Linked DNA regions of Arabidopsis thaliana. The protein of the gene in region 1 purifies or fractionates together with the protein of each later gene. This does not show direct contact. Each region holds a gene or a part of one and is shown in the gene's direction. Other genes may lie near its edges.

Region 1 (8,840 bases):
TCTTAGAGTTATGAGAAGGTTTTGATGCATCTTGGAGCAGAGAGTCTAAATCTTTCGACGGAGGAAGGCCTAATCTTTTCAATACATCGCCAGCGTCGCATAATGGAAAACTAAGTGGAGTGGAAGGAATTTCAGAGTTGATGCAATGATCCTGAGAAGTCAATGAGTGTATCAATTTTCAGTTAAAGCAACAAACCTATTTAAAGTCATGTATACTTGCTTACAGGTCAAATCAGAATATATATATATGAAACTTCTAAATGTTAGATTAAGAAATCTACCTTGGACGATGACGATAGATCTCCATCCAGGGCATTTACTTTATCGATGTTTTCACTATTTGGTAGTGTAGCAGAGATAGAGCTAGGCGGTGAACCCAGAGTTCTGCTGAGACAAGTGTCTAATTCAGTAGAGCTTTGTGATTGAACAGGCCTCTTTGTTGGTAGAATGGACCAAACATTTTTGACTACACTCAATAAAGTGTTGTTAGTATTCTCCGATTTCTTCATCTTGTCTTTGCCCAAAGAAGGACACTCATAAGAGCCTTCAAGAAGACTTTTCAATGAAAAATCTTCAACGAGTTTGGTAACATCATTTATTGCAGGCTTCAGGCCATAGGCACCTGCATGTAAGGTAAGGAAAATTAAGAGGTAAACACAACACTAGAAAAAGATCAGACCATTTCACGTGAGGAGAATATACTGACGAGACCTTGTCATGTCAACAAGGTCGCATTTTAATGAGATAGTAGTGAAATGCACTGGTGCTATAACTCTTACATTGTCCCTTTGGTACCTTAGCGATGCAAAGAATATGTCAGCCAATGAAACCTTTTCAATGTGATGTCAGGGAGGATTCAAAATAAACTAAAAATCATAACAAGTGACCGAGGGGACCTCTAAAGCTACCTCAGAACAGATTTCACTTGTAAATCACTTCAAAGTTCAGACGAAGCAATCTATAGAACTGAAAGTATAAAAGAAAATATAATAACTAGCCAAAGTAAATCGACCAGGTTGAGGAGTCAACTGTTGAATTAGAGTACACTATTGGATACCACAGGACAAGGCTAATTCAGAAGCAATCACATACCGAAAAATGCATTCTCGCCAGTCGCTGAATTGATGGTTGATAAAGTTCTCACCGGAACTTTGGAAATCCTCTTATCACCTCGCTTGCCGTTATAACTGCTCCGTTGCTTCACCACAAACGGTTTATCTGTTTAGCATTCAACAGAAGGTAATAAGTAACCTCACAAGGCAAAATGATACACAGGCACTTTTTCAGAGTGTGAAACATTAAACTTTCACCAACATATTACATATTCTTTTAAAATATATGCTACTGACTAAATGAATGCATAATTTCAGACAAAGAAATCACATGAGAGTTACCTAAGCAACTAGTAGATCCTTGTCCACATATCTCCTTGGTGTCGTTATCTCTCTGTGTCCTCACCGTTTCATCTAAAAGGATCAATTTCGTCCTTCTCGGAGTGCCATTACCACTACTACTTCTAGAAAGTTTTCCTCTTTTCCTAGGAGACTCCGCACTTTCTGGACTAGCAATCGGTGAATAACCATTTTGAGGCTCAGATGAATTGTCAACCCGAAGTTTAGTAAGCCTATCATGTACAAAGTCATGTGAATGCATTAACTTGCGCCATAACGATGAATCAGACGCTCCACTGCTACTTCCTGCTCCTAAATCAAGAACAAGACTAAATCAAAACCCATCCAACCAAACTTGAAAAAGTTTGCAAATTTACCAAGAACAAAAACACAAATTTGGATCTACAACTATAAACTGTACTCAGTGTAAAGAAGAATAATTTCAAAATCCCCAAATGAAATTTGAAGTCAAAGTGAAGAGAAATTAGCTAACCTTTCTTGTTGATTGAAGCACTACTACAACGCTCAATTGAAGAATTAACACCAATCGAGACACGAGCCTTGTCACAGTTGTTATCTGCTTTATTCGACGAAACCCTAACTCCACCACCACACCCTTCAGATCCCATAAGCTTAGCCGGCAACGAAACATCCACAGGACAAGAAATCTTCAAACCATCCATCACAAACCCAAATCGAAAACATCGCAGCCGTGTAAGCTGCGATACGAACTCATCATCTCCTTTTAAACCAAAACCCAGATAGTTCGATCGAGCTTTAGAGAAAGCTAAATCTTAGAAATTTCTGGAGAATAGTGAGCTACAAGAGTGAGATTGATTTGGTTTTTTTTTCCTCGATGAAGAAACGCAATGGTGCGGCTGCGTGAATCGAGGGATTTTAATCTAGGGCAAGAAAATGAAAGAGGAGAAAAAAAAGATGAGTATTTATAGTTTTCGGGAAATTAACTTTGGCCTTGTTTTAGATAAGCCGTCGACGGTGAGATTGTTCCGGTGAGCTCGTCTGTACTGGTAACTCTGACGTGGCTACTACATTATTGCGAAACGGAGTGATTTAGAACCGTTGGATGTTGACTGATGACGGGGTTTTTATGATCTTGTTGGTTAATAGAGTGACACGTATTCAAGTGAAGATTTCACTTGGTTCATGTGGTTTGATATGAGTTTCCAAATATGCCACTGGTGGATTCTCAGGTGTTTGCTTGGAGCGGAGGGTGTTTTTGATTTTGACGAAATTATCCCTTATCTGAATGTTAACGCCGTTAGATTGTGTTGGTTCCGTTAACAGATTTTTGATTTAACTATTTCGGTTCAAGGTCTTCTTGAACAAGTCAATGAAGTTACATTGACAAAAAAGAATAAAACATGAACTTTACAATATTGAAGGGATTGCTTTTGTATTTAAAGTTAGTTTTTACAGGTAGTGATTGTTTGGATATGTGCTCTATTTCTTTTGTTTATTTGTGTTCGTTTTTGTTGAGATTATGGTTGTGTAAGCGTGGTTTAGTATTTGTTTAAAACTATTGAGGCAATCTAATGTTGGGTCCTCTTGGAAGATCATCTTTGTAATCTTTCTCAATACATCAAACTGTTTTGTCAAAGAGTTTTCGGCTATGTTGCTTTTGAATGTGGTATTTATATATTCCGTGTGCTTTAAGGTTCTTCTTTCTTTATATCCGCTTTTTAATTTTTGGTTTTAGAGTTTTTATGTATCCGCCAGTTTTATTTTTAGAAAAAAATTTTTTTTTATTAAATATAACTATACATATCATAGATAAATCATTTAGACGAGAAAAATTAAAAAGACGTTAATTTTATGTACCCGTCAATTTTATTTTTGGAAAAAACAAATTTTCTTATTAAATATAACTATACCTATCATGGATGAATCATTTAGACGAGAAAAATTAAAAAGACGTTTAATTTTAAAAGCATAATTAGTTTCAGATCATTTTAAATTATGGAAATTTAATAGTAAAGTTTCTTAAAAATAATATGTATTACTCAAAATAATAAATTTTCTAAAAACTTTCTTTATCTAAAAAACATGTCTTACCAACAGTTGATCCTAAACCAAAACAATTATGAATCTAAACACTTAGAAGTTTTTTTGTTAACAAAATGGAATAAAATAACAATAATCCAGTTTTGTCTTAAACGTATAAAGCCTTATTGTTTTATATTGGATTAGCAATTGGGCCTGAAAGAAGAAAAACAATCATATGGGCCAATAGGACTTGGATCTATATTGCTTCAACTTATTACAATATTCATGCATGTGTGGAATTTGGCTATGTCATGTGGATGGATAAGCGTTGGCAGAGTCTTCGTTACGTTTTCATAAATTATCTAAACAACTTAATTACACAATATTCTCAGGTATTGGCAAGAAGAAAAAAAGAAGAAGAAGAGAAAAATCATAATATAAATATACTTCTGGACACGTTGAAGAGACATATTTGATGACTAGTCTAAGCAAGATTCCACAAAAATGAAGCATCGATTTTGATCAAATTATTCGGACTTCAAAATATGAAAATAGTATAGAAATATTTTCTTTATGTAATATTCAAGCCGCATTTTGACAAAAATAATTAATAAAAAAAATGTAAGAGTATCCCCATCTTTAGTTTTTAAAATAATAGAAAAAATAAATTTGGTCAAAAGACAAAGCCGTCCCTTCCGGTTCACACGAGCCGCACGTGTGCTTTCCTTTTTTCTCCTTCCCCGTTCTCTAGCCGATTCTCTCTGTCTAGGGCTCCTCCGTCTTCTTCTTCTCATACCTTCACATACCACAAAACCTCTCTTCTCTCTCTATTGATTCTCTACGAAGAGGAAAGTGATTTTGAACCATCTTGATCGGAAACGGCGTTTCGAAACTGGAGGTCGAAGACGAAAAAAACTCTTATCTCATCGCTCCGGTGTACCGAATTCGAGAGGTTTTTGTTAGGTTTCGTAGTGATTGATTGATTTTGATGGAAGATAGTGTGGTGGATGATGTTATAAAGAGGTTACTAGGAGCGAAAAACGGGAAGACGACGAAGCAGGTTCAGTTGACGGAGGCTGAGATTAAACATCTTTGTTCTACCGCTAAGCAGATCTTTCTCACTCAACCTAATCTTCTTGAACTCGAGGCTCCTATTAAGATTTGTGGTATTCATTCATCAATTTTGTTCTCTCCTCTTCAAATTTTCTTTTCTACGAGGATTTGCGTAGATTATGTTTGATTATCCATAGAACTAGAGATTGATTAGCTAACCAGAGTTGTTTAAATTTAGATAAATTCGTATGAATGATATTTGTAGAATTGCATATGAATCTGTTGTTTACTTGATCAGTTATCATTAGTGAGATACTAAAAGAAGTTAGAAATGATCATTTGTCTCCATATCAGAGATTCAGAGCTGATAGTGTATTGTTCTGTGCATCTTGTGTATCATTTTGATGTATAATGGTATCAGAAAGTTGCTAATGTGTTTACTAATACATAAGTTTGTTCTGCTTCATTTTATAGCAACCAGTAGTAGCATATGCTTGTGTGGCTTGTGTTTCTAGTGAAATAGCACTTCTATAATGGGGGTTGGTTTCATGTTTTTAATAGGAGATACTCATGGTCAGTTCTCAGATCTTTTGAGATTGTTCGAGTATGGTGGCTACCCACCAGCTGCAAACTATTTGTTTCTTGGGGATTATGTAGATCGTGGAAAGCAGAGTGTAGAGACCATATGCCTTCTTCTTGCCTACAAGATCAAATACAAAGAGAATTTCTTTCTTCTACGTGGGAACCATGAGTGTGCTTCTATAAACCGTATATACGGATTCTATGACGAGTGCAAGAAGAGATATAGCGTTCGAGTGTGGAAGATATTTACTGACTGCTTTAATTGTCTACCTGTTGCTGCTCTTATTGATGAAAAGATCCTCTGTATGCATGGTGGGCTATCGCCTGAGTTGAAGCACTTGGATGAGATCAGGAACATTCCTCGTCCTGCTGACATTCCTGATCATGGACTACTGTGTGATCTGTTGTGGTCTGATCCTGACAAAGACATTGAAGGATGGGGAGAGAATGACAGGGGTGTCTCGTACACTTTTGGGGCTGATAAAGTCGAGGAGTTTCTTCAAACGCATGACCTTGACTTAATTTGTAGAGCTCATCAGGTAATATTTTGCTTTAGACATGTATCTGTGGTACGTCTCTTTTGTTTACTTGTCATCATAGGACCTACAAATAATGGACGAATACTTATGATTTATCTCTTTTAACCTCATTGAAGTTGATTGTTTTGCCCTTTAGGTTGTGGAAGACGGGTATGAATTCTTTGCAAATAGACAGCTAGTAACGATATTCTCGGCCCCAAACTACTGCGGAGAGTTTGATAACGCAGGAGCAATGATGAGTGTGGATGATTCCTTGACGTGCTCATTTCAGATCCTTAAAGCATCTGAGAAGAAAGGAAACTTCGGGTTTGGCAAAAATGCAGGAAGGCGAGGAACCCCGCCTCGCAAGGTGAGAATCTTTAAAGCATCGAATGATACAGTTACATACTGAGTTCTATTAGGGCAGGCCTTCTTAGTCATCTCATTGTTTTGTTTTCTCTTTTAGGGTGGTGGAAAAGGCTGAAGACAAATCCCATAAACTCTGTTTTGTGTATTCCATGTTTCTTGGTTCAAGACACTTGCTTGATCAGCTGAACTTATCAAACTGTCTTCTTCTTCTTCTTCCTCTGCTCTGGATCACTTTGGCAAGGGGTACTTCTGTCTTTTCCCTTGACTACTCTGGATCACTTGGTGTCTTTGACCTCTGTGAATCTGAGATATTATTCTCTGTGAGATACACTTTATGTCGTTTTTTGTTAAAACATTTAAATGAAAATCATAATGTTCCTCGTCACTTGGAAAAAAACGGCACGGTGTTTCGTTTGGAAACTTAACAATGAATGATAGGTTAATGATTCACAAAACTGATGTAGTGGCTGTTCCATTTGAGTTTTACTTCTTCTTCACGCTTACAAGCTTAGACGACTTATGATTTCCTACTACATACTTGTTTTGCCATTGATTCTTAAGAAACAGAGAACTCTAAGCTAGGTCAGTTTCTACAAGATCCATTGATACTTGTTTAGACTCTCGTAATATCCCCTGCATTAAAAACCCAAGTTCTCTATATAGACTATACACACACACACATGTCAGAAGAAATAAACGGAAAAGTTAAAAAGATGATAGCTCGACGATTCGCAATAGTACGTTACTTTCGTTCAAGGATGAATCCAAAGATGACTATACAAAAACTTTGCACATCGTCTAAAACAGCAGATCTTTCTCTCCGAAAGATGGATCCGAACCGAAGAACGCAAAAATTCAGCAAACCACAAGTCATTGCAAGTCCCTCTCTGCGAGAAGCAATGAAGAAGCGAAACGACGATTTGGTCCTTACGGGTAAAGTAATAGCTTCAGAAGCTAGCTAACTTCATCTTCTCTCCGGCATCAATCAACTCCGCCAACACAATGATGGGGTCTCATCAAAGACCTTCTTCCTCCTGAATGGCTGAATCCGTAAACAGTGAAACAATTGAGGTTTATGGAAACGCATTGTATTTCAAAGGAGCTTGGGCTGAACCATTCGATAAGTGGTATACAGAAAAGAAAGAGTTCCACCTACTCGATGGTGCGTCAGTGTTTGTGACATTTGTGAGAAGCAAATGGGACCAATAAGTTGGGGGTTACAATGGTTCCAAGGTCCTCAGGCTTCCATACCGACAAAGCGATGATGATATCAATCGTGAATACTCAAAATGTATTTCTATCTGCCCGACAAGAAATATGGATTGGATATGAGATAGAATTTGGATATAAGTAAAGAATTAACAACAACAAAATCTATAAATATTAAAATATTCTTAAATTAAGAGATGCTATATCAGAAACTAATATTATATTTTAGTTAAAATCTATTTAAATTTTAAAGTAAACTATATATTGGATACAATATAAGGTGGTGCTAAAGTCAATATTAATTAATTTTAAGTTTTTACCAAAAACATAACACATAATCATTGTAATATCTATTATGAATATTGAATAATCATACTCTAGAAACTTCACTTAAATTTTATTTATAATTAAATAACAAAATTCCTATATATAAAAGATAAGATATTTAAATTAAAATTTCATTATAAAGCCTGAAGGATCCTAATCATGATTATCATAAAAGTGTATATATGATTAAAAAAGTTTAGTTCTCCTAACAGATATCAGATTATTATATGGTATGTATATACTTTTTTTTTTCCCCTAATTCGAAGATGCACCAAGTTCTATCTTAATTAGATACTAGGCATCTTATATTTTATATATATATTTGTGTGCTCAGAACAAAAATTAAAAGGAAGAACCAAAAACTTAGCACATCAGAAATCGCAGAGCCCTTCTCTAGCACTCAACACGAAGAAAAAGCAAAAGATGGATTCTTTGCAAGAACTTCTTGACAAGAAGCAATACGACGAAGAAGCAAAACGTCCATGTCAAGAAGCGATGAAGAAGCAAAACGACGTTGCTCTTTTCCTTGCGGGGGAAGTAATCTCTGCCGCAGACAAAAACTCTAACGTCGTCTTCTCTCCTGCATCTATCAACTCCGTTCTCACCATGGCCGCTGCTACCTCCGACAGTGAAGCACTAAAATCTTGCATCCTCTCCTTCCTTAGGTCTTCTTCCACCGACGAGCTCAACGACATCTTCCGCGAAATAGCTTCCGTCGTCCTCGTCGACGGAAGCAAAACAGGTGGCCCCAAAATCACGGTGGTTAATGGAGTGTGGAGAGAGCAATCACTTCCGTGTAGTCCCGAGTCGAAAGATCTCTTTGAGAATTTCTACAAGTCTGCTTTCGCTCAAGTTGATTTCCGATCCAAGGTCAGTTTCTGATTTCGAATTTGCTTTGATTAAATTAGGGCAAGAGATTGTGTGAAACGAGTGCTTAGAGAAACTACATATCGTATTCAATGTTTTGGTTTGTTGTTTTGAAGTTTGAAGAAGTGCGTGAGGAGGTGAATTCTTGGGCATTACGTCACACCAATGGTATCATCAAAGATCTTCTACCTCCTGGATCCGTTACAAGCGAAACCTTGTGGATTTATGGAAACGCATTGTACTTCAAAGGAGCCTGGGAAGACAAATTCTATAAGTCAATGACGAAACACAAACCTTTCTACCTTGTCAATGGCAAACAAGTACATGTGCCATTCATGCAAAGCTCACAAAGTCAATATGTTAAGGCTTACGATGGTTTCAAGGTCCTTAGACAACCATACCGACAAGGCGTTAATGATACAAGTCGCCAATTCTCAATGTGTACCTATCTCCCGGACGAGAAAGATGGATTGGATAATCTTGTGGAGAAAATGACATCTACTGATGGATTCTTGGACAG
Region 2 (5,348 bases), on another chromosome or scaffold:
CTTCCATACCTTCTTGCAAGGATCTTTGATAAGTTCCTATCCTCATTAACATGTGTTGCACCTTGTTTTTCGATCCTCTAAGCTTCCAAGTATATGACTACAACAACGAGATTGAATATCTAATGATACAAATGGTATCTTAACTATATACTTTCTTTTCAATTCTTCTGGTAATGTGTATTTAACAATTAATTTTGCTAATCTTGGATGTAGCTTTGCACATGGATTGCTACAGATTAGAGCTGTCACAGCGGGCTGTCCATGTCCATTAGCCCAGTCCAATAATGTCCATTTCGATATTGGACAAATAGTGTTCATGTCCACTAAGGCACATGTCCATTAACGCCCGTGCCCATTAATGTCCATGTCCAAATGGGTTGTCCAATAGGCATAACAAAACCAAATTTTAACACAATAGTATTTGCTTCAGCAAGATGCTTGAATGTTTCTTTGTAAATAATCGCTCTAGAGAGCATTAGATGTGTAGAATTCCATTTTGTGCTTACTACCAATTCTTTTTTCTGTTTAAGTAACTCATATTAGTGAGCTAAGCTTTTGATATTTGCAGTTTCATGAATACACGGTGTCAAAGGACCAAGCTTCATAGTTCATACTATGCATAATGCAGACAATGAACACTATATCAAACAATAGTAACAGAAATCGAAAGAGACCCATGTCAAAATCACTCTCAATAAGCAAAAAACAGTAACAAAAAATCATTTCGAATTGAGTAATCAAAAACCCAGATCGAATTGAGTAAAAATGACGAGAATTTGCTTACTTGAACTGGATTAGGAATCTCAGGAGGATCCATGATGTGATGGAGTTGAGATGTTGAAGGAACTCGCCGGAGAAATCGCCGGAAAGAAGAAATCGCCAAATAAGCGTCGGGGAAATGTTTTTTCCCCAAATTTATTTTTGCCCGAACACTTAAACCTAATATTTTTTGACCATTGGGCCGCCCATGTCCATCACGTCCAGTCCGCTGATGCCCATGTCCGTTAACGCCCATGTCCATTAATGCCTGCTTCATAATGGGCTTGTCCATGCCCGGTCCATTAGGCGTTGGACACGGGCCACTCGTCCATTTTGATAACTCTACTACAGATCAATCGTTCAAAGAAATAATAAAATCTCAGTAGACCTATGTTTGGAAGAAACAAGAAAATTTCATAGATCCGTATAATGGATCCATGATTCAAGATTAGCATAATTAAATTCGAAAGTAAATTGACCTTATAACTAAAGTAAAGTGAATTAGGTGGTTACAGTTTTTTCCAATGACATTGTAACATAATATCTTACAAAAGCCAATATTACTATTTGAAAGGTACTTCCGTACTAGTAATGTAGGGATTTGAGACGTGATTATTTATCCTTAATATTCTAATTAGATTGAAGGTTTATATATTAAGTTTTCCATAGTTAAAAGTCAATCTTGAAACAAAAAGATAGTTTGAGGGTTCTCTTGTAAATTTCCTAAAAGTAAAACATTAATACCCTAAAAATCGAAAAATCAGAAAAAGCTTCGGAGCAAGAAAAATCAGAGAAAATTCAAAAACCCTTCACTTGCCTCACTGTTCTTCGTCATGGCGAACAATCCTTCACAGCTTCTTCCTTCAGGTATGCAATTTTTTCTTCACATCTCTCACTTTCCACCTTCTTATATGTAAGAAAATCGAACTAGATCTGCGATTTTTTGGTTTTCAATTTTTGAGCGATTTGGTTTGTTTGTGCAGAGCTAATCGATAGGTGTATAGGGTCTAAGATTTGGGTGATAATGAAAGGAGATAAGGAGCTCGTTGGTATTCTCAAAGGATTCGATGTTTATGTCAACATGGTTCTTGAAGATGTCACCGAATAGTAAGTCTGATTTTAGGGTTTCGATTATTGCTTCATATCTTGTTTAATTGGAATGTTGCTTGATCTATTACACTTTAGGAGGTGAATCATAGACATTGAACCATGGATGTGATTATGCAGAACTTAGCCTTTTGGATTTTGTTTTTGGGTAATTGATCTCAATACTGATTTGTGAATGTCCATCACAGTTCATTCATTTGCTGATTAATGACATTTATTGTGTATGCATAGAGTCTATTTCAGCGGGGTCATATGTGGTTTCGGTGACTTGAGTTGTTTGTGGTTGTGTGAGGATTAGTTAATTGATGCTTAAACCCGTGTTGCTTTGGAGTTAGGATCTCATAGATTCAAGTTTTGATTGTAACAAATTCTTGATTGAATTGTAACTAGAGTGTGTTACTAATTTATCTAAGCATCGTTGTGTAGTGAGATTACGGCAGAAGGAAGACGGGTCACAAAGCTTGATCAGATTCTACTCAATGGCAACAACATCGCCATTGTAAGTAAAAAAACACTTGTGGTTACTCATAGCCATACGTTGTATAAACTTCCTTGTGATGAATTTTCAAGTATCTTGATATAAACAGTTGGTCATTTGAATAGTCAAATTGCTAAGAAACTGGTGTTGAAAATGTTTGTGATGCAGCTGGTGCCAGGTGGGTCTCCCGAAGATGGAGAATGAGATTTGCGAGATTTGATTGGTGTTTTCAGACTTGTGTGAGGAAGGATGTAACTTTTGGTTTTAGATTTAACACTTTGTTCAGAGAAAAGTAGTTGATTTTAAACTCAGAATGACAAAAGTTTTCATTGTTCAGCAATGTGAAAGAGCTAAAGCATCATATTTATTAGACTCAATGCATCATTACTTCTACTTATTCAAGCTCTCTTCGATGTTCTAATGACTATCCCCGTTAGCCACACGAGCGTTGGACAAGTTATCAACAGAGTCTCCCCTCTCAAAAACAGCTGCAGCTCCCATTCCAGTGCCTGTGACGTTCGCATTTTACATATACCATTAACATAGGTAATCATTGATCCAATTCAATCTGAAAAAAAATCTTATATATATACCTATGCACATTGAGATTACTCCAAAGCGGCAATCTTTTCCTCTCCGCTTCATCTCGTGCAACAATGTCGCAACACATCGAGCTCCTGAACATATAGAAAAGAACTCTATTAGCCTGTAACAAATGTTGCATTTTATTTAGTTACGACAAGCTTGGTAAGTAGTAACCTGTAGCACCCAGGGGATGGCCAATAGCAATGGCTCCTCCATTAACATTGACCTTTTCCATATCCAGCTCTAACTTCTTGCAAGAGTACACATACTGAGATGCAAATGCCTGTTTAACAATGCAACAATAAAGATTTATATGTATGTATTATTCCGAAACAGGAAAAAAACCAATGTGAAATATTTTGTTACCTCATTGATCTCGAATAGATCAATATCGCTGACGTTGAGCCCTGCGAGCTTAGTTGCAGCGGGAATGGCAACAGCTGGACCAATACCCATTACAGATGGTTCCACACCAGTAACAGCAAAACTCCTGCATTGTTCCGGAATCAGATTTGCTCGGTTTCTTGAACTGGCAAAATGTTGTATATTCATTTTACCTGAATACTCCAAGAATGGGAAGTCCCTTCTTCATAGCCAAACTTCTCTTCATTAGCAGTACTGCTCCAGCACCATCACTGATCTGACTAGCATTGCCTACACAAAACACATATACTTAAATGCTTCAATCTATGATCTCACTTATGCCAGTGATAGTTAAGAGAGTTGTTTCTAACCAGCTGTGGTGGAACCGTTCTGTTTAAAGACAGTCTTCAGCTTTGCCAAATCTGCCATGTTTGAGTTTGGACGTACACCGTCATCAACAGATACGACGATTGCCTTCTCTGCTTTAGTCTCAGGGTCCACAATCTGTCAAGAACAATATCATTTACTGAGAAAGCTCTACCAAAAGGGCTTTAAAGGAAGTTTGGGAGGTTCTTGTTTTACCTTAGTAGCAACAGGAATGATTTCATCCTTGAGTTTACCAGACGCGATTGCAGCTGCAGCGCGTTTGTGAGACTCCACCTGATTATTACTGAATCAGTACTTATATGAACTAGAGAGGAAAAAAGTGAAGAGAATAACTAACTAACCGCAGCCATATCTTGCTCTTCTCTTGTGACACCGAACCTTTCTGCAACGTTTTCAGAAGTAATTCCCATTGGAAGCAAACAATCACGGGCTTTTGGGAAATCCTGTGCCTATTCCCATGTAGAGTTTACAAGATCATCACAAAACTCTTCTTGTTGAGTAAATTTATACACTCATTGTGATAGCTTACTCTTGGATTAGAGCCATGAAAGCCGCCTCCAGGAATATGATCAGTTGACATTGATTCCACTCCAGCACCAATACCTATGCAATTCACAAAGTTGAGAGAATCAATCCCATGGCCTATACAAGCAGCTAGAGACTACAAAAAACTGATGCAGCAGCATCTTACCAATGTCGTAATAACCAGCTCTAATGGAAGCAGCAACATCAGCAACTGCTTGTAGTCCTGATGAGCATTGTCTATTGACAGTTCTAACTGGCACGGAGTCTAGCTCGTAAAAGAGAAGGATGAAGAAACATATCAACAACTTGTGAGATATTAAGTTTATCTTGATTCTTGAATGAGATTTAGTACCAGGAAAACCAGCAAAATAAGCTGCAACTCTACACTCCATTGCTCTCTGAGAACCAGGCGCTATCACGGTACCAACAACGATATCACCAACTTCACTTGGATCCAAAGATGTTCTTTCCACTACAGCCTAATCAGAACAAACCATGAAACATAAGAAATCATTGATACTACTACTCCATGCATGCACAAGGTTTAATTGATGACTTACCTTAAGAACAGAAGCAAGAAGATCATCAGGAAGAGTGTCTTTGAAACCTCCACGTCTCGCTTTGCAAATGGCGGTACGATATGCCCTGAAGAAGAAGAAGAATCAAGAAACAAAGAAAACTAAAGAAAGTGAAAGTGAAGCAAACTCAATGAGTATACTTACGCTACAATCACAATGTCATCTCCAAAAGCAGCCATTGGGGAAACTTCAGAAACACAATTCACAGGCTAAAATTAACAAAAACACAAGTGAGTCACATAATAAAACAGAGTTAAAGATCATCAGCTTCCACAAACAATTTCAATGTCTAATTAAGACTCACGGATTAAGACAACTAAACTTACAGACAGAAGAGAAGGTTCATGTTTAAGAGAAGAATTAGAAGAAGAAACTGGATTGAGATGACGAAGCAATATCTTTTGTCTTTCCATAGCTCTCTCCATGATTCTCTCTGTTGCAAACACTTGTGTTGCAGCTGAATTCTAATGGTGATTGAAAGACAAAAACTTTCCGGGGAAACTGAAATGGGTTTGGTTGATTTTTCTGGAAAGGGGAAGACGTTAAGTACAATGAGCTTCAGGGTC

Evidence for each region. The genes of interacting proteins can lie anywhere in the genome.
Region 2: the proteins of TOPP3 (region 1) and SAD1 fractionate together in Arabidopsis thaliana (co-fractionation; one large-scale study listed by BioGRID). This does not show direct contact.

Annotation. Positions count from the first base shown.
Region 1 is NC_003070.9:23,755,818-23,764,657, reverse strand, and holds TOPP3 (type one serine/threonine protein phosphatase 3), read left to right. Parts: upstream 1-3,994; 5' UTR 3,995-4,383; coding exon 4,384-4,561; intron 4,562-5,009; coding exon 5,010-5,569; intron 5,570-5,705; coding exon 5,706-5,918; intron 5,919-6,014; coding exon 6,015-6,032; 3' UTR 6,033-6,417; downstream 6,418-8,840. Other genes in the region: AT1G64050 (uncharacterized protein), read right to left, coding at 1-151, 282-622, 1,093-1,218, 1,395-1,703, 1,885-2,074.
Region 2 is NC_003076.8:19,811,815-19,817,162, forward strand, and holds SAD1 (Small nuclear ribonucleoprotein family protein), read left to right. Parts: upstream 1-1,531; 5' UTR 1,532-1,592; coding exon 1,593-1,626; intron 1,627-1,742; coding exon 1,743-1,866; intron 1,867-2,292; coding exon 2,293-2,365; intron 2,366-2,512; coding exon 2,513-2,548; 3' UTR 2,549-2,740; downstream 2,741-5,348. Other genes in the region: AT5G48860 (uncharacterized protein), read right to left, coding at 1-97, 785-1,051; KAT5 (peroxisomal 3-keto-acyl-CoA thiolase 2), read right to left, coding at 2,762-2,853, 2,938-3,021, 3,104-3,212, 3,296-3,419, 3,487-3,583, 3,664-3,796, 3,875-3,952, 4,021-4,128 and 6 more. UniProt on the Arabidopsis thaliana protein: Component of LSM protein complexes, which are involved in RNA processing. Component of the cytoplasmic LSM1-LSM7 complex which is involved in mRNA degradation by promoting decapping and leading to accurate 5'-3' mRNA decay.